Alligator mississippiensis: one gene and its partner. The protein of the gene in region 2 interacts with the protein of the main gene of each other region in a pairwise test. Links are inferred from orthologs where the notes say so. Each region holds a gene or a part of one and is shown on either strand. Other genes may lie near its edges.

The links.
Region 1: the proteins of RETREG3 (region 2) and STAP1 interact in binary tests that used the Homo sapiens proteins (3 or more experiments, as listed by UniProt). The two-hybrid records come from large-scale screens. The link is inferred for Alligator mississippiensis from reciprocal best matches to the Homo sapiens genes RETREG3 and STAP1.

What each region holds. Positions count from the first base shown.
Region 1 is NC_081825.1:133,206,618-133,216,121, forward strand, and holds the start of STAP1 (signal-transducing adaptor protein 1), read right to left. Parts: upstream 3,531-9,504; coding exon 3,519-3,530; intron 2,025-3,518; coding exon 1,953-2,024; intron 1-1,952. UniProt on the Homo sapiens protein: In BCR signaling, appears to function as a docking protein acting downstream of TEC and participates in a positive feedback loop by increasing the activity of TEC.
Region 2 is NC_081827.1:152,039,194-152,048,336, forward strand, and holds the start of RETREG3 (reticulophagy regulator 3), read right to left. Parts: upstream 4,072-9,143; 5' UTR 4,061-4,071; coding exon 3,885-4,060; intron 1-3,884. Other genes in the region: TUBG1 (tubulin gamma-1 chain), read left to right, coding at 4,283-4,331, 4,497-4,609, 5,058-5,225, 9,142-9,143. UniProt on the Homo sapiens protein: Endoplasmic reticulum (ER)-anchored autophagy regulator which exists in an inactive state under basal conditions but is activated following cellular stress.

The DNA of each region.
Region 1 (9,504 bases), on a different chromosome or scaffold from region 2:
TTTTACTGACTCACCCTGGCAGCCAGATCAGGTAGGTCCCACTGGCTCTAACACAGGACAATCAAAACCTGAAAGGTGTTGTGAGGCAGGAGGAAGGGAAAGGACAGGGGGAGAGGTGCTACATGGAGAAACCTGAGGAACAGGTGATGCAAAAGAGAGCTCAAGTTATAATGTATGGTCTGGTCTTACAAATAAATGCATATTGTAAGTGTGTTTGAGATTGCCTAATACAAAGTAATAAGTGTTTTCAGTGTTGTCTAGGAATGTTTACTTTCAGGACAGTGTCCAAGAACTTCAGCCTGAGCTCCCCAGACCAGATCCCTCCTTCCTCTCAGGTGCTATTGCTGATGCGATAGTTTTCCAGAAAGGCATCTAGCTGCCTGGAGGCCATTACATTACCAGTATATTAGCCACAGTGCAGAGATAAAATTCTCCCCTCACTTTGCCTGTTCCCAGCTTCCCTCTACATACTTACAACATTAAAGTCACAATTGAAAAGACAAAGTAAATATTAGACAGCCAGGAAATACGGCATTAAGATGATACTTCCTGTATAGAGATGTAAACAACTTCAGCTACAACCTCTATATGCAAAACAGATTACTTAATTAAATATGCCCTCTGGAATTTAAAAACAAAGTTTACTTGTTATGGCTGGCTTTTGAGTCCTAAGAAGATGTCTATGATGATTCATGCATGGGCTTGCAGGGAAAAACTATAAAGGGGGAAAATTCTCACTATCATAGTCCCTCTCTTTACACATCTTGTACAGTGAAACATTTGGGAGATGTTGCAGAAACGTACTGCTGGAGGGTTTTGATTCTTCCAACAATTTATCTGGGAACTGCTGGCCTAATATAGACTCTTGGTGGTTGTAAAACACAGTCTTTACTGTCATGTTCATTGAACAAAGTTGTTGCTGGCGAGACTGCAGTAGTTTTGCTAACCACTGCAGCTTGAAATTTTTTATTTAAGAGCTAAGTTATGACATTGTTGTAAACTATGCTCTTAGGACAACCTAGAGCAATAAGTCTTTTACATCTTTCACTGAAATAAGCATAAATCAAGCACTACTTTAGTGAAGTCAAGGGGCCACAACAATATTCTAGTCACATGGGAGAGAATAATCAGGCCCTTTATAAAATGGTTTTAAGGAAAAAATACATCCCTATGCACACTGCTCTGAAAAACTGTGGTGGGGCCTTCAACTGTGGAGCTTGGTTTCAAACACAGTTCAAGCAAGATAAGCTGTGTCCGTTCAGGGTATTAAATAATTCTTGTTATACTGGTGCTTGTTTTTGATCTGCAGAAATTTTGTGTTAGGAAGGCATAAACTTGGCACTGGAGTAGAATTTCTTGCTTTTCTGTCAAAGAGCCTGTACAAAAGATAAAGAGGATATACATGCTGTATGTATCATAATAATAGCATCTTTCAACCAGCATTTTCCCCCACTATTTTGAAAACCATATATAGATTAACAGCTGCTTCTCAGCTGTACAATGAAGGAGGGAATGTTTAGCTCTGCTTTTAAGTGCTGTGAACAAGGTGATCTTTAATGTCCATTAAAAATGCCCATTGGGTCCTAGTGGATTGACTACTTGATGGGCTCAGGAGATCTGTGTTCTATTCTTGCCTCTGTGTTTCTTGGGTGACCTTGAAGAAGATAGTCCACCTGCCTGTGCTGCAGCTCCAGATAGATCTCATCCCTAGAGCAAATGCTCAGTGTAGCCTGAATGACTGTGGTGAGGAAGAACTTGCTGTATCATAATTTCACTTCCCATGACTTCACCAGGCATTTTGGTTTCTGGGCTTGCTTTCTGCTCTTTGGGTTTCCAAAGTGTGGGAGGATGGAACTGAGAGAGGCAGTTCTCACACACATGCTTTCTTGCTTGATGATAAGTACTATCGAAATTGCTCAAACATCTTCACATTAGCCCATAGTGCTACTCACCATTGTGGTTTTCTTATCGTTATAGAAGAAAAGTGTGGTTCCTCTGAGTTCTGTCCAGTGATGTTTAAATTCCTGTTGGGTATGAAAAGAGAGTGTCAGTTCTGTGGAAGCTGACAAGATTATCCAGTCAAAAAGTGCCAGTGAATGAAGGACTTAAGAAAAATATTGAAACCTGGACAGTTCTATTTCAGCACGGGATAGCTCTGGAGCAGTCCAGGATCTTCTGCTGACAACTCCTCACAAGCAGAAAAGGTCTATGAAATTAGTCCTTATTCAAAGTCAGGACTTCATGTCAGCAGACCCATGGCCCCTTGCTTTATTTTTGTGACAGTGTAGCTCTACTGGCTTCAGTAGAGGTCTGCCAGTCTAAAACTGGCATTACAAAGCCATGAGCCATGTCCATTATCTTGATTTTGGTACCTGATACTATTGATACTGGTAATCACAACACTTACAACACCTCCAGACTGCTTAGTAACCTGCTAGTATTTTCTAATGTTTTTGTTTCATAGTTAAAACAAGCGAATTCCACAAAATAAAGAAGAAACTATTAAAATAGTCTCATATTTTATATTGCTCACCCTAAATTTTATATCATGGAAGGACTCCATACTAAGGACAGATAGGAGAAAAACTGCAGGTTTTAGCCCTGTAGGGCAAAGGTGCAGAACATGCAAAATTTCCTCTCTTGTCATCTGAAGAAAGATTCTTTGTGCCTGAACATTTGTTTAACATCTCTCCCAATTGCTCCAATAAAAGATATCAACAATCTCTTCCCCCCCCGGCTTCTTGTATATTTTCTGGACTGTCATGGCTACAACAACATTTTCTCATCGAGTCATTCTGACTTCCTTTTTTAACCAGTTAGGGAGCTGCCTCAAAATAAGAATTTATTGTTTATCACGTGGAAAGTATATAGGTATGTTTCTGCATTTATGCCATTATTTTCATTATAAAATTATAATCCTTGTGTCTTCCACTATAGACTGGGACAGTGAATGATGATGAGTTGCTTGTTCTCAGATAAAACCATAACAACTAATTTCTTTCAGTGTTTTAGGTAGCAAATGTCTGTTTAGACATTCTCTGAAGGCACAAACAGGCCAATGTTTAATGTATTAAAATGTGTGTTTAAACACAGGTGGTAGTTTTATTTCTAAGCACCTAGGTGAGGTCTGATTTATAGACAGTGTGGGGCACCCACTGGTGCTTCTTGATATCAGTGGAAGATCTGGATCAAGAACTCAGGTAGCTGAACAGACATTAAACATTGATGTCCCTGCTGACATGGGCCAAAACAAAGCTAGCTGAGGGCAAACAAATGCGGAGATGGAACCCTCCACGCCCAGTCATCGTTTTTTTTTTAACTGTCTAATCCTGAAAAGATTTATTTTGACCCTGATAGTTTGTTCACATGAGGAACATGCTGATATTAATTCCATGCCCTGACACTAAGGATATTCTGACCTTATTCTACACTCTTTCGTTTAGAATGACAGTTTATGTACTTCGTAATTAGGTAATGCATGATAAAGATGAGATGAGTTTTTTTGAAGTGATTGATACCTTCTTGTACATTACGGTACAACTGGGGGTGATTTAGTGCTAACATCTCCCAACTATTGATAGTAATGTCACATTTTTTCAGATTGGCCTTCACGGTGTCTTTGAATATCTTTTGCTCACATCTACAGTGGTGACCGTCAGTCATTTGGGAGTATAGGACCGGTTTTAGGAGCCAGTTGTCAGGCACCCATGTAACATATCTTGTCCATGGAGCTGGCAGTTGTGCGGGCCGGGTCAGACCCCGGGCCCTTTTTGTCGCTCTGCACGTGGGCTGTGGCCGGCAGCCCGGGCAGGCCGGGTCGGAGAGGGAGGTCGCTGAGTTAGAATTAGGCACAGACACGTAACGGTTGATTTTAAGATTGTTTTACTTACACCGAGATGGTCGCGGTGCAGGCTGAGAACTTGCTTGAGTTGCGGTTACAACAGAAAACACGAACACACGTGGAGTTTGCTAGGCTCCACGCAGACAAAACACGAACGATCACGTGGAGTTTGCTAGGCTCCACGCAGACAGAACTCCAGATGTCCAGGACAAGCGCGCATTAAACTCGTCGGTACGTCTTATAGTAGGCTCCGTTCGAAGACGGGAAGAGGTGGGCGGTGGATCAGGCCGCCAAATTCCTCTGGGCAACACACAGGGTTTCTATTACCCTGCCGTGCACACCCAGAGTCCCCGCGAGATGGATGCGGAGTCCTCTTCGGCTTGGGCGGAAACTGCTCAAGCCTCTTATACGGCTAGCAGGCCAATCGCTAGCCGCCACGTGTGAATAATTTAGAACTAGCCAATTGCGGGGCACGAATTTACATACGACGAGTGGGAACTCTTTGCACCGTGCATTTCTGTGTTGCAAAGGAAATGCACCCTGCAAAGATCGCTGCAAAGTGGCGGGAACACTCCTTTGCACGCGGGTTCTCTGTGCAGCAGAACTCCTCCGTGCAATGAAGCTGTATACCCACGGGGATAATTCGAGTGCCGAAGCACACACAAAAAAAATCAGACCTTTGGGTCATGACATCCCCCCTTGCTGAAGGCACAATAGAATTATACTTCAAACCTATCATCCGGGTTATTAACAGCTCTGTCAATGGTTCGCGAAACTAAACGAGCAAAAACAAAATCAGTCAACAATAAAAGTTCGTCCTCAAGGGATCGAATCAAATAATAACCGACACACACACATATACATAAAATTACATTCATAACAAAAAACTGAACGATCATGACTTCGGTGGGCGTCATGGTGGAATCGCGCGTCAGGCCTTTGTTCCTTTTGGTGATGTTGTCCTTCTCGGGGCCTCTCTCCACCACGCACTCCGAATCCCTGATCTGTAAAAGAACTCTCTCAAAATGGTTATTCACAAATCACACAGGACCGCACGATAATGCAGTCGATTAAACTTATCATTACTTATTAAATACAAATATGTAAACACGATTTTATACTAGACAGCTCTTTCTCTTTTCCGACTCAGCAACTCGACGAAATCGTCAATGAGTCGTCGTCGCCTTCTTCTAGATAGTGAAAACCTAACTCGTAGGCTAGCTGCCATTGTCCCGCATCTCCTAAAATCCGAAGCTGTCTCTTATTAAGTCCAGAGCGCTGCAGGAGGTATCCAAACATGTATGACTCCTCTTGCGTTCTCTGGCATAATACTGGACGCTCGGATTTGCGGTGTTTCGTGTTCTGAGCCTCGGTCGGGCGTTGATACTCCCGATCACTGGATAGTCTTGGCTCCATTAGGACGTGCAGTCTTGACAACTGATGAAGGAGACTACTCACAGGATGATCGACCAGTGGGTTCAGCACAATCCGCAAAACCACGATGTTTCTTTGCCCATAAACTTTAAGACAACTATCTATGCTGTCGAGAGTCACCGGAACGGTTCCAGGGTCTCGCAGGTGACGATGAGGCCACGGTCGCATTCGTTGGAGCGGTGTTAGTCCCAACATGCATTCTCTTGGGTTCCAGGCGCAATACGAAACTCCGATAATAGTTAGTACAAGCTGTTCTGCACTGGTATGCTCTGGTCGGCCATCGTGCCATGCGTGGGCCTTCTGTTCAATCACTCCTGCCACAAGCGCTGGAATCGGAATAGGCCAGTGGACGCTAAATGCCACCATGTTGATGTCAGTGACATGTCCCCTACTCCATGAAGCTTGTCTCACCAAGAAGCTTGCTTCTTCCTGGTCCAGGAGGTCGGACCCAAGTTCCACGACCAGACGTCCCAACCACACAGCCAGAGTTTCTTCGGGTCGGATCCTGGATTCTCTACACAAATTCTGCAGTTCGGCTCTGGAACGAGCGTAATAGGTGGTAGCTTGAACTGCATTCTGCGGACCAATGACTGGGCTGCTTTGTACTGCAGGCTGATCAGTTTCTTCGCGAGTTGTCGTTGCTGTTGCTGTTTCTGTCGGAGCTGTAGTCATTGTTACAGTGGGGGTTGTTGTTGTTTCAGGCGGGAGGGGCGGATGCACTCCTCTGCTTGACTCCCCCTCCCTTCGGCAGAGGGGCGTGGTCGGCGGAACCGACGCTGCGTCGCTGGGCGGAGTTACCGGCCGAACACTCGCGGGCTCTCCCAAAGCTCCATCCCTCACTTCCGGCTCCTCCACGCGGTCTTCCCTCTGCTCGGTGCCATCTTGTTGGGGCAGTTTAAGATCCCCTTTCTCAGCCGCTTCTCCGACTGCCCGAACGGCCATATGCAGCTGGGTCTTTAAGCTTAAAGTTTCACTCATTAAATCAGTCATAGTCTGAAAAGCTGCATTTAGTTTTCCCCCCTTGTCGCACTGTAGGACCACTCTCTCATTTACGGCACGGTCCTCCGTCTCCTGGTCTTCGCGGAGCTCGGACAGACGATCTTGACCCCTCAGTCTGGGCACCACCATACAAGGGGAAAACCAGCCGATTGGCATCGTCTCTCCCATCTCTCGGGCACACCGTGAGCAAAGGAGACACTCCCGGGTGGGGGTCGGGCTTACTGCGCTCGCCGGGTCGACTTCAGCAAGGGTCACAGCCTCGAGGGGCCTGTACAGGACCCGCTCATCGGCCATGATACACCTCAACGCCGCGGGGTGAAGATATATTTCTTTCCCTTCTAGGGCTCCAACTTCTGGAGTTCCCTCTTCTCCCCTTAACGAAAGGTATCCACAGACACATCTCTTGCCCGTTCTGCCCGCCTGGTGGTACACGAGGTGCGCCTCCAGTTCTCCGATGCTTGCTACGCTGCGTCTCCCACTTCTCCAAGGGCAGTTCTCAACTAATTCTAACTCTAGCGAGCCCTCTCCTGAGCTCATCGCCATGTGCCGCGGTGATCCTGATCCCATCCTCGTCGCCATGTGCGGGCCAGGTCAGGCCCCGGGCCCTTTTCGTCGCTCTGCATGTGGGCTGTGGCCGGCAGCCCGGGCAGGCCGGGTCGGAGAGGGAGGTCGCTGAATTAGAATTAGGCACAGACACGTAACGGTTGATTTTAAGATTGTTTTACTTACACCGAGATGGTCGCGGTGCAGGCTGAGAACTTGCTTGAGTTGCGGTTACAACAGAAAACATGAACACACGTGGAGTTTGCTAGGCTCCACGCAGACAAAACACGAACGATCACGTGGAGTTTGCTAGGCTCCACGCAGACAGAACTCCAGATGTCCAGGACAAGCGCACATTAAACTCGTCGGTACGTCTTATAGTAGGCTCCGTTCGAAGACGGGAAGAGGTGGGCGGTGGATCAGGCCGCCAAACTCCTCTGGGCAACACACAGGGTTTCTATTACCCTGCCGCGCACACCCAGAGTCCGCACGAGATGGATGCGGAGTCCTCTTCGGCTTGGGCGGAAACTGCTCAAGCCTCTTATACGGCTAGCAGGCCAATCGCTAGCCGCCACGTGTGAATAATTTAGAACTAGCCAATTGCAGGGCACGAATTTACATACGACGAGTGGGAACTCTTTGCACCGTGCATTTCTGTGTTGCAAAGGAAATGCACCCTGCAAAGATCGCTGCAAAGTGGCTGGAACGCTCCTTTACACGCAGGTTCTCTGTGCAGCAGAACTCCTCCGTGCAATGAAGCTGTATACCCACGGGGATAATTCGAGTGCCGAAGCACACACACAAAAAAATCAGACCTTTGGGTCATGACAGCAGTCATATAAGCATAGCTTCAATGCTGGTAGAATTTATTTGAACTAGAATACTAGCATCTGTTCTTCCAATTGAAATAGAGAATTTTCTGAAGACATCACTGATGGTAATTTTCAAACCTTTCAGGTGTTTCTGGTATGTTGTCTGGGTTTTGTACCCATACAACAGCATAGGAACAATGGCAGCCTGGTAAACAAGAAGTTTGGTATGGGTCCTGATGTCATAATCATTTAACATGATTTTGGAGATGTCCAAAGGCGGTACTGATAGATTTTATCTGATGTTAAATATCATCATCTATATTTACTTTTTGGAAGAGGCAGCTACCTAGGTATGGGAAATGTTCAACATTCTCCAAAGATTCTCCTTAATTGTAAGCAGCTTCTTGGGTTGGGATTGGTAAGGTAGTTTGGTTTTCTTGAAGCAATCAGGAAGTCCCAGGCATACACAACACAATGACCAGTATATTGAAGATCAGTAATGGAAGTGTTGGTTATTTTGGATTGGGAACATAACCAGTTAATATTAAAGAAATCCCAGTCTGTCAGTACTGAATGCTGACTCCAGATAGAAACTTATCAGCAATGATGTACAGAATAGCTGCAATACAGATGAAAAAAAATGTTGATGCAATTACAAATCCTTGCTTGACTCCAGTTCTAATAATAAATGGGTCTGTTTCTGAGCCATTGCTTAGGACAGCTGCTGTCATGTCATCATAAAGAAATATGATGATGGTAACACATTTTAACAGGCATCTTTTTGTACATCAACTGACATGCACGCTGAAGAAGGGCAAAATTTGCTTAACTTTGGGACCAGCATTGTGTGACAATTTGTTGCCCATTGCTTCCATTAAAATGAACATCAGTTATCTGTATGCCACTTAAATGCAGAAACAACAGTACACAGCATCTTTCAGCCCCAATATCTACTTTATAACATAATTGTACTCTGCATAAATGCACAAAAATGGTGAAGATGAAGCAGCTGTTAAAAGGCTGCTATTAGAAACCCTGAAAATGAAAGGAGTTAGTCTATTTCAAAACCACTAATACCACAGCACTGACCATGCTGTATATTTAATGAGTACTGTTTGGATAATTTATGCATAGGCTTGTTTTTCTGAACTTAATCTGAGTGCATTGCATAGTCTTTGGGGCAAGGGGTCTATAGCAGGGAGTTTGGTGCTCCTACTATTTTAAAGGAAGGCAGGCTGCAGGAAAACCAGGCGGTATGGATCTCAAAGGCAAAACCAGCAACAGCTGAGAAGGAGGAACAGGAAGCAAGGGGGAGGAGACAGGAAAAACAAGAGAGTTAGAGAGGCTGGGGGAAAACAGCAGGCCCTGTAACAGCTCTGTAAGAAACTGATATAATAAAAGACACGGTTTATATTAAGTAGGGACCTGTTCCTTGATTACCCATACAGGGTCACATGAAACAGCAGGTAAAGCAGAAGGTAATCAGGGGAGCCACATGATCCCAAAAGAGGTTGGCTTGCACAATATAAAACCAGAGTTTGAGCTGGACAGGCAATCTAGCCCTGGAAGCCATTGAAGGAAGAGCTCCTGAGCAGGTTGCAGGGGGAATCTCCGATAAAGTATCTAAGCTGCTTGGGGAAAGATAGCCTTAGGGCTGGGGAAGCACCAGTGGTTTAGGAATTGAGACTGGTAGAGGTTATGGCTGTGCGAAGCTTTGGTCCCTGATTCAATTCAGCAGAGATTCAGCCCGATTCGGTGGCCAAATTTCCAAATCAAATCAGAGGACCCTTTAATCTCTCCAAATCAAATCAGAACCGTCCAAATCGATTCGGAATCATTTGGTGATCCAGACATAGACACAGCTTTAAATGTTTC
Region 2 (9,143 bases):
AAGGAAATTAGTTTTGTTTCCAGCCATGTCACTTGCTACATGCTTCCTACTTCCCACAAGAGCACCCCAAACTTAATAGTGCTTATCTGAGATTGTCAGCTGCTAAAAATAAGAGTCCAACAGCTTGACATCAGCATCCCCAATTCAGATCATTCCTCTGCTGCTGAAATAGCTCACAAGCTTAACACCTATCTAATAAGCTCAGCTTTCCCTTCAGGCCCTTGACTAAATCAAAGAGTGAGACCAATTGCTAGAAACAGAATTAACAAGGCAGGTTTACAGGGAAATAGATATGTTGCATTTAAGAGTATAAAAGCTTGCTCTGAGTTTAAGTGCAGTATTCTGGTGGAGCCAGAAGAAACATGATGCACCTCACCACAATATGGCAATTTTCACACAAAAGCTCAAATAATAAGTTGGTGGTCTAAAGTCTTGTTAGAAGTTACATGCAACTCCACAGTTCTTAACAGGGGGTCACAGCACCCTAGGGTGCCACAAGATTCTTTTGAGGGTGCCACAGGGTACAAGGAGGTAAGCACTCGTTCTTCTCCACCCGGCCCCTATGCAAGCAGGTAAGTGCAAGCTCATTTGCCTAGCTCCAGTGCAAGGAGGTAAGCTCATACTTGTCTTTGCCTGCCCTGTGTGAGGAGCTAAGTGCTCGCTCCTCCCCTAAGATAGTGAACAGTTTCATCCTGCCCCAGCTCCAGTACAAGGAGCTCAAGACAGTCAGCTAAGCGCATAAATTGCCCTGCTACTCTGTAGGAAACTAAGCGCTCACTCTTCTCCCAACCACCACCCTCACCCGGGGTTCAGTGCTGCAATAAAAATAATAAATTAGTTATTGAAATAGGGTTCCATTTGATTCACAGGAGTTATGGAGGTGTGACAGGAGTCTAAGAAGTTCAAGGGCCACATCTTACCAAGACAATCATGTGTTGCCATAAATTAAACACACAAAAGGTACAAATCCTACCACTTCAAAAGGTAGCATCTGTTCAGTTCTATACTGGATTCTCCCTCCCTCTCCCCTCAGCTTGGTGCTTTGTAAGGTCTGAATCCAATATCATTAGAGAAGCAGATCATTTAAATTCCAGACAGAGACTCTCATACTTAGCAATCTGCCTTGAAATCCATCCAAACTAGTACACACTGCAAGCAGTACCCATATAAAAATAAAGCAATAGAAGTGGGTTAGTTCTGAAAACTACCTCTCTGCCCAGAACAACCAAATAGGATTTGACCAAAAAATATATGCAACAAAATAAACCTTCCCAGCCCGTTCCAAATCCTGAGATTCTTAAATCCTGAAAATATTTATTGAAAACCCAAAGGAACAGAGACACCTGGGGAAGATGCTACACAGGAGGTGATTTCAGAGACAAAGGCCCCATATAAGACAGCGCCATCATTAAGGATTTCTATGAACCAGGGCATATGACCAGTAATCCCTTCAATGCCCTCAGCCTAGGGCAGTGTTCACAGGCTGCCCCTGAAGAGTCACTTCACAATTCTCCCACAGAGGAAATGCAGATGGAAGTGACAGCAAAGGAGTAAACCAAACTCAAGAGATGCCACTGATGAGTACTGTACAAGATAACTGCTGGCTGATTAAATACCAGGGGCTTCAGCTCCCTTGACACAAAAGATTCTCTGCATAAACACATTAATGAGCATGTTCCAAGCAGCTCTAACAGCACCAGGGTTACTTTGTGCAAGGCTTCTAGTTTAACTAGCAGACTTACTTTAAAAATAGAAAACATCCTAGTAGGCTACTAATAAGGTAAGATATTCAGGCAATAAAACACTCAAATGTTCAACTCTCCCTCTATGATTTGGCTCTTGCTGCTGATGCCAGCATAGAAGCGGAGCCTCAACACTGTCCTTTTATAATAGAGCTTGGAGATTAAAGGACTGTGGAATGAATCTTACCCTTCTAACTTAGCAATTAAACATCTGGAAGCCAAAGCTAGACAACAGGAAACTTACATTCATTACTCTGCTAATGCCAATTCACAACACAGAACTTGACCAGAATGCTACACAGCAGTAAAGTGTTCCAAGTTCAGAGGACAAAATCATTTTGAAGCTTCCTTCTCCCTAATTCTGTAAATGGCTGAGATTCAAACACAAGATCCAAGCTCTAACCTGCAGCTCTTGTAGTGAGATTGCACTAGAGATGTAAATTTCCTTCCCCCCCCACCACCACCCCAATTCTTCACTTTCTCCTCTCTCCCTCCACCTTATGCAACTTTGCCTAGGTTGTGAACCCAAGTCAGAGTTTTCTCAAGTGTTTCAAGTGCAAGTAAGCAAACTCTCCCTACTCCTGAAGAAGGGTGTTTATGTCCAAAAGTTTGCAAAGAACAATTTTTCCAGCTATTTAGTTGGTCTAATAAAAGAGAGCATATTTACCCAAAGAACCTTGTCTGCTTCAAATGCAGTGAGAAATGTGTGAGCACCTGAGGTATGAGACCAATACTAACAATACACAAGAGCTAATCCACACTTCTGCCAATGTCTTTTAATAGAATCTCAGTGCCCCTTACCATGTAGCTTCTAGCTAGCCAAGCGCCATCTTAGGAAAGCATGCATTAGGTTGACTTTTATTTCAGGTGATCGAGGAGCAGTTAAATTAATTCCTGTTTCTGTGCATGAAAGATGGAAGGCCAGGCCCAAAAGCCTGCTTGTGGCCAACTCCACTCTGAGGGGCTGTCTTCTGATGCTCAGATCCTGGAGGGATATTCTTTGTTTGTAGTTACCCAGACACCAATCCCACTTGGTTAACTTAACAGCAGTGGCTGGGACTCGCTCCAGAATTCAACACTCCTCATCAAGCAGAATGATGGGATTTTTTGGAGGGGGACAGGGGTTTGAGGCACGATGTCTTAAGGGAGCTGAAGAGGTTTCCTTCTCTATCACTTGCTCAAGGATGTTGGAAGATCATAACCAAGAGCCATGATGGTCAACCTACTTGACAGTCCTGGGCTTCAAATTCAGAATCATACCAGTCTAGAACACTGTCATCTTGGGTCCAACTTGATTTATTTGGAGCAGGTGGAATACGGGTCCTGCTCTCAGTGCTCCAGCTGTGGATTAGCATGATTTATTCTCTTTGGCAGTAAAAATGTAACTGCCATAAGCCAAAACACTAATTACTAGGCATAGCCATTTTAACACCAATTACCTCCAGTCTACCAAGAAATCCCTGAATAGTCTTTTTGGCATGCGGGTCTGATGACGAGGAAGAGGCTCCACCCGGCAGTAAACTGCCAGAAAACTACAGCATCAACTCCAAAGAATTGACTCCTGAGAGCGGGCTGCCCACATGAGCTTGTATTAGATCACACCAAACCCCCTTTCTCACTAGAAGTAGCACTCACGCACTTGGGGAAGAGGGGAAGCGGACAGGTGACCAAATTGGCTAGCACAGCCGCCAAGACACCCAAAAAGTCTCATGATCTGTACTCAGTGCAAAGCCACTCAAAGCAACCAAATTATGCAGTCGCTCACACCCAGTTTGCCCATCAAAGCACATGAGCGGGAAGCTCCGTTTCAGCAGGCCGACTCTGTGGGTCAGCTCCCAGCTTCAGGAGCAGGATGTGCAGGGCTGAGGTGAGTGGTGCGCGGGCTAGATGCCGTACGGGGGGCCGGGCCGGGCCGGGCCAAGCGGGGCGCGCAGGGCTCAGCCCGGCCTCGGACACGGGCTCCAGCCGCGCGGGGACCTGCGCACGGATCGCACCACGTCCGGAAAGGCGGCGACCGGGGGCCGGGGCCGCACTGGCCAGGGCCGGGGCCGAAGTCCGAGCAGCACAGCCCGAGTCCGCTCCCCGCCTCAGACGCCCGCAGGGGGGAGTTGGGCCCCCGTGTCCCGCCCCGGCGCCGCTCACCAGAAGAGGCCGTGCGCGGCCGCCCAGCCCAGCGCGCTGCGACCCGGCCGCTCCCACACCAACGCCGCCTGCAGAGCGCTCAGCGCCGGCTCGTAGGGCCCCAGCCGCGCCCGCAGGGCGGCGCTCAGCGCTCGCACCCGCCGCTCCCGCTCGCCGGGGCCGCCCGCCGCCGCCATCGCTGCCCTCCCCTGCGCCACGGGAACAACATCCGCCGCCCCCCCCTGGCCCCGCCCCGGCAACGGCCGCCGCGCCTGCGCGCGGGGCTCAACATGGCGGCGCCCACCGTTGAGCATGGGCGCCGCCATCTTGTTGCACGGACAGCTGCCACCTAGTGCGCAGGCGCGGCGGGCTCCCGGCGACGCGGGGCGGGCGGCGGTGGAATCGGCGGCTCCGGCGAGATGCCGCGGGAGATCATCACCCTGCAGCTGGGCCAGTGCGGGAACCAGAGTGAGCAGGGCCGGGCAGGCGGGGGCGCCCAGGAGTGCCCTGCCTGGGGCCGGGGCCGGGGCCGGGGCCGGGGCCGGGGCCGGGGGCAGGCAAGGCCGGGGCGGGCAGGGCCGGCCGGCCGGGGGGCTGACGCCGCCTCCCCTCCTCTTCCCTCCTTGGCCGCAGTCGGGTTCGAGTTCTGGAAGCAGCTGTGCGCCGAGCACGGCATCAGCCCCGAGGGCATCGTGGAGGAGTTCGCCACCGAGGGCACGGACCGCAAGGACGTCTTCTTCTACCAGGTGCGGGCTCGGTCCCCCCCAGGGCCGCTCCGATCCCAGCCCCTGCCCCGTGCTGCCCCCAGGCTGTCGCCTGCCGCGCACGGAGGTGCCTGTGCCCCTTGCGGCGCCCGATGCAGGCGGCCCCCCGGCCACCGTCACTGAGTTGTCATGTATCTGCTACGATTGGGAGCACATTGTGGAAGGGGGCCGCGTCTGTTCTGCGTGTGCGCATGCAGCACCCGGCACAGCAGGGTCCACGGACACAAATAGGTGCTGTCTCGAGAGAGAGGTGCCCAGTAATAACTGTTGCCTTGCCAGTCCGCTTCACCAGGACCCAAAGCTGATGCTTGCTGTGTTCATAGCTCTGGGCTGACAGCCGGTGCCTGCCTCGGTTTCTCCCGCAGAGCAAAGCGCTGTTGAGTTATGACTGTATCATGTTCTTTAGCCTTCTCACCGCTCCCCGTTACAGGCAGATGATGAACATTACATCCCTCGGGCTGTGCTTCTGGACCTCGAGCCCCGAGTGATCCACTCCATCCTGAACTCTCCTTATGCGAACCTGTACAATCCTGAAAACATCTACCTGTCTGAGCATGGGGGTGGGGCCGGAAACAACTGGGCCAGCGGCTTCTCCCAGGTAAGGGGCCTCATGCATGCTGGTGCAAGCATATGTCTAGTCCTTGTGCTTAAGAGCTTACCAGGGAATTCCTTCAGCCCTGCTGGGATTCCGGAATCCTTCAGCGCTCTGTGTTGTTTTGGGTCCCATGCTTCAAAAATATGTGGACAAATTGTCTCTCTCTGGTGGACTCTTTCCAAAAATGTTCCCCAGGGAGACTGGTCTGAAGGGAAAAGGCATCCAGGATTGCTGGTTGTACTTTAGTCATAGTCATAGAAAAGTTGGACACTCCAGAGGTCATCTAGTTCAACCCCCTGCTTGAGGCAGGATCATCCCTATCCAATCCATCCCATACAACCATAATCTAAACTGTACATAAGACTACCCTCAACCCTGATGAAACGCAGACCTAACACCCTAACGTGCCACAGGTAAAGCAGGGGAACCACAGCATCCAAGGTCCTGCTTCCATAAAATGTTTTCAATATATGCTCAAGAGGTCCTGCATAGAATACCACTACTATAGAAGAAATCAAAGATCCTCACAGACCATACCAGTCTGACCATGGAGTAAGATTCCTTCCTGACCCCAAATATAGCGATCAGTCTGACCCTGAGCAGAATGGCGAGACCCTCTATCCAGGAACCTCCAGTTTTGCTCCTAGCAGGAGAATTGGCACACCCCAGTTGAAGTCCCCAATCTTAGCTTTAGACAACACCCAATGCCTTTGGGGAGGCTTAAAAACACATTGGCACATGCAGGAATGAACCATCCATATGCAGGAAGACTAGCAAGTATGGCTGAAAACCAGCTTGGCATAGCGGGGAACTCTTCAGTGAGCTAAAACACAAAAAGGAAGCTTACAAGAAGTGGAAACTTGGACAAACTACTAGGAAGGAGTATAAGAGTATTGCTTGGCATTCAGAGATGAAATGAGGAAGGTCAAGTGCAACAGGAGTTGCAGTTAGCAAGGGACATGAAGGGTAACAAGAAAGGTTTCTACATGTATGTCTGCAAGAAGAGGAAGATCAGGGGAAATGTGGGTCCCTTACTGAACAGGGGGGCAGTCCCATTCAGCAAAGGCTGAAGTACTTGATGCCTTTTTTACCTCAATCTTCACAGGCAAGTTCTGCTCCTGGCAGCATAGTTTGGGGAGGAGGTAAGCAGCCAACAGTGGCAAGAGAACAGGTTAGGGACTATTTAGAAAAGCTGGATATGTACAAGTTGATGGTGCCAGATGTGATGCACCCAGGGGTGCTGAGGGAGTTGGGTGATGTGGTTACAGAGCCACTGGCTGTTATCTTTGAAAACTTTTGGCAATCAGGAGAGTTCCCAGGTGATCAGAAAAGGGCAAATATAGTGCCCATGTTTAGAAGAAGGAGGATCTGGGAAAGTACAAACCTATCAGCCTTACCTTAGTCCCTGGACAAATCATGGGACAGGTCCTCAGGGAATCCATTTCTAAGCACTTGGAGGAGGCAGTGGTGTTTAGGAACCGTCAGCATGGATTCACCTAGGGCAAATCATGCCTGACCAACCTGATTGCTTTTTATGAGATGACTGGCTCTTGTGGGGAAAGCAATGGATGTGATATACTTTGACTTTAGCAAGTCTTTTGATACAGTCTTCCATAACAGTCTCACAAGTGAGCTAAAGAAGTATGGGTTGGTTGGTTGGTTGGATGAATGGACTGTAAGGTGGATAGAAAACTGGCTGGATAATCCAGCTCAGAGGGTAGTAGTCAATGGCTCTGTGTCTAGTTGGCAACTGCTATCAAGGGGAGTGCCCCAGGGGGTGGTCCTGTGGCTGGTTTTGTTCAATATCTTCATCAACAACCTGGCAGATGGGATGAGGTGCACCTGCAGCAGATAACACCAAGCTGGGGGGAGTAGTAGATATGCTATAGGGTAGAGCTAGGATTCAGAGAGACCTTGACAAATTGCAAGATTGGACCAAAAGAAATCTCATGAAGTTAATTAAGGACAAGTGCAAAATCCCGAACTGAGGATGAAACAATCCCATGCACCGGTACAGGCTGGGGACTGAGTGGCTAAGCAACAGCTCAATAGAAAAGGACCTGGGGCTTACAGTGGGCGAGAAGCTGAATATGAGTCAACAGCGTGCCCTTGTTGTAAAGAAGACTACCAGCATACTGGGTTTCATTAGTAGGAGCATTGCCAGTAGATCAAAGGAAGTGATTTATTCCCCTCTACTTGGCAGTAGTGAGGCCACATCTGGAGTAGTGTGTCCAGTTCTGGGCCCACCACTACAGAAAAGATGTGAACAAATTGGAAAGAGTCCAGCAGAGGGCAATGAAAATGGTTAGGGAGCTCGGGACCGTGATTTATGAGTAGAGACTGAAGGAACTGGACTTGTTTAGTCTGGAGAGGAAACGACTGAGGAGGGATTTGCTAACAGTTTGAAATACTGAAAGATGATTATAAAGAAGTTAGAGAAAGCTCTTTCTTTGTGGCTGTAGGGGACAGGACTAGGAGCAATTTCCTCAAGCTGCAGCAGGGAAAATTTAGTTTGGAAATTGGGAAGAACTGTTTGAGTATGAGGTCAAGCACTGGAACTGGCTACATAGAGAAGCTGTGGAATCTCCATCCGTAGAAATTCTTAAGAGCAGGTGAAAGAAAAGCTCTTGGCTGGAATAGCCTTAAGCAGGGAGCTGGATTAAATGACCTCATAAGGTCCCTTCCAACTTTACTTTCTTATGATCCTAAGTGCTGATATGCAAGTACCATCCCATTCAGGATGGACTCATGGGTAAAAAAACACCCCCAAAGGATCTAATGGCATGGCTGGAAGCTGCATGACATTATGCCTGGCACATACCTGTGGCAGGTTAAGGTGTTATGTCTGTGTTGTGTCAGGGTTAATGGTGGTTTTATGTAGAGTTTAGATTATGGATTGTATAGTATGGTTTGGATAGGGATGATCCTGCCTCTGGCAGGGGGGTTGGACTAGATGAGTGTTTCTCAACCCTTGGGTTGCAACCCAAAAGTTGGTCATAAGAATATTTGAAAGGGTTGTGACCGTCATAGAAAAACACAGGAAAGTACATGTTTGCCCTTGCATGCTGGCAGAGTTCTAGCATACAAGGGGCTGCTTGGAGCTGTGGGGAGTGGGTAGAAGGTGATCAGCCAGGAGGCACCATATGCATGTGCGTATGCACATGGCAACTAAGCAGGGTGGGGAGAAGCTCCTGCAGCTTCCCACCGGTAAGTCTATGGGGTGGAGGGGGCATAAACAATGCATTGGGGGGCAGGAATGGGCACAGGCAACATTTGGGGGAGGACCTCACTCCCAACCCACAGTCCCCCCACCTTCCCAGCCCTGCTGCTGGTACCCCTCACTCCCAACCTGCTGCTTCCCATCCCCAGCCCTTCAGTGTGTTGGGGGGGATGGGGGGGCCACATGCCCCTCCAGAGTTGTGCACCTGCAGCAGGCACGGGGCTGCAGCCTGACCAGACTGACACAGGCAGGAGCTGCTTCCATGGCCCAGCAGGTGGGTCCCAGCATGGGAGAGTGGGCAAGGGCAGCGAGACTCATTTCTGCTGCCACCATGAACCTGTGCCAGCTGTGCTTCCAGCAGCATGAGGAGTAGCCAACTGGGGGGACACTGGCAGGGCCAGAGATCTGTGGGTTGGGAGTCACTGGCAGGACCAGAGGGCTGTAGGTCAGTGAGGGGCACCAGCAGGGCCAGGGGCCTGTGGGTCAGGAATGAGAGGTACTGGCAGGGTCTGGGAGCTGTTTTCTACTTAAAGTATTTACTGAGTCGGGACTGGCCATCAATGTTTACAAATTCTGGTACAAAAATAGTTGAGAACCATTGAACTAGATGACCTCTGGAGGTCTCTTCCAGACCTACTTCTCTGTGATTCCTCAAGGAGAAATTAATGGAATGAATGTTGTTTTGGTTCTGCCTTGCAGGG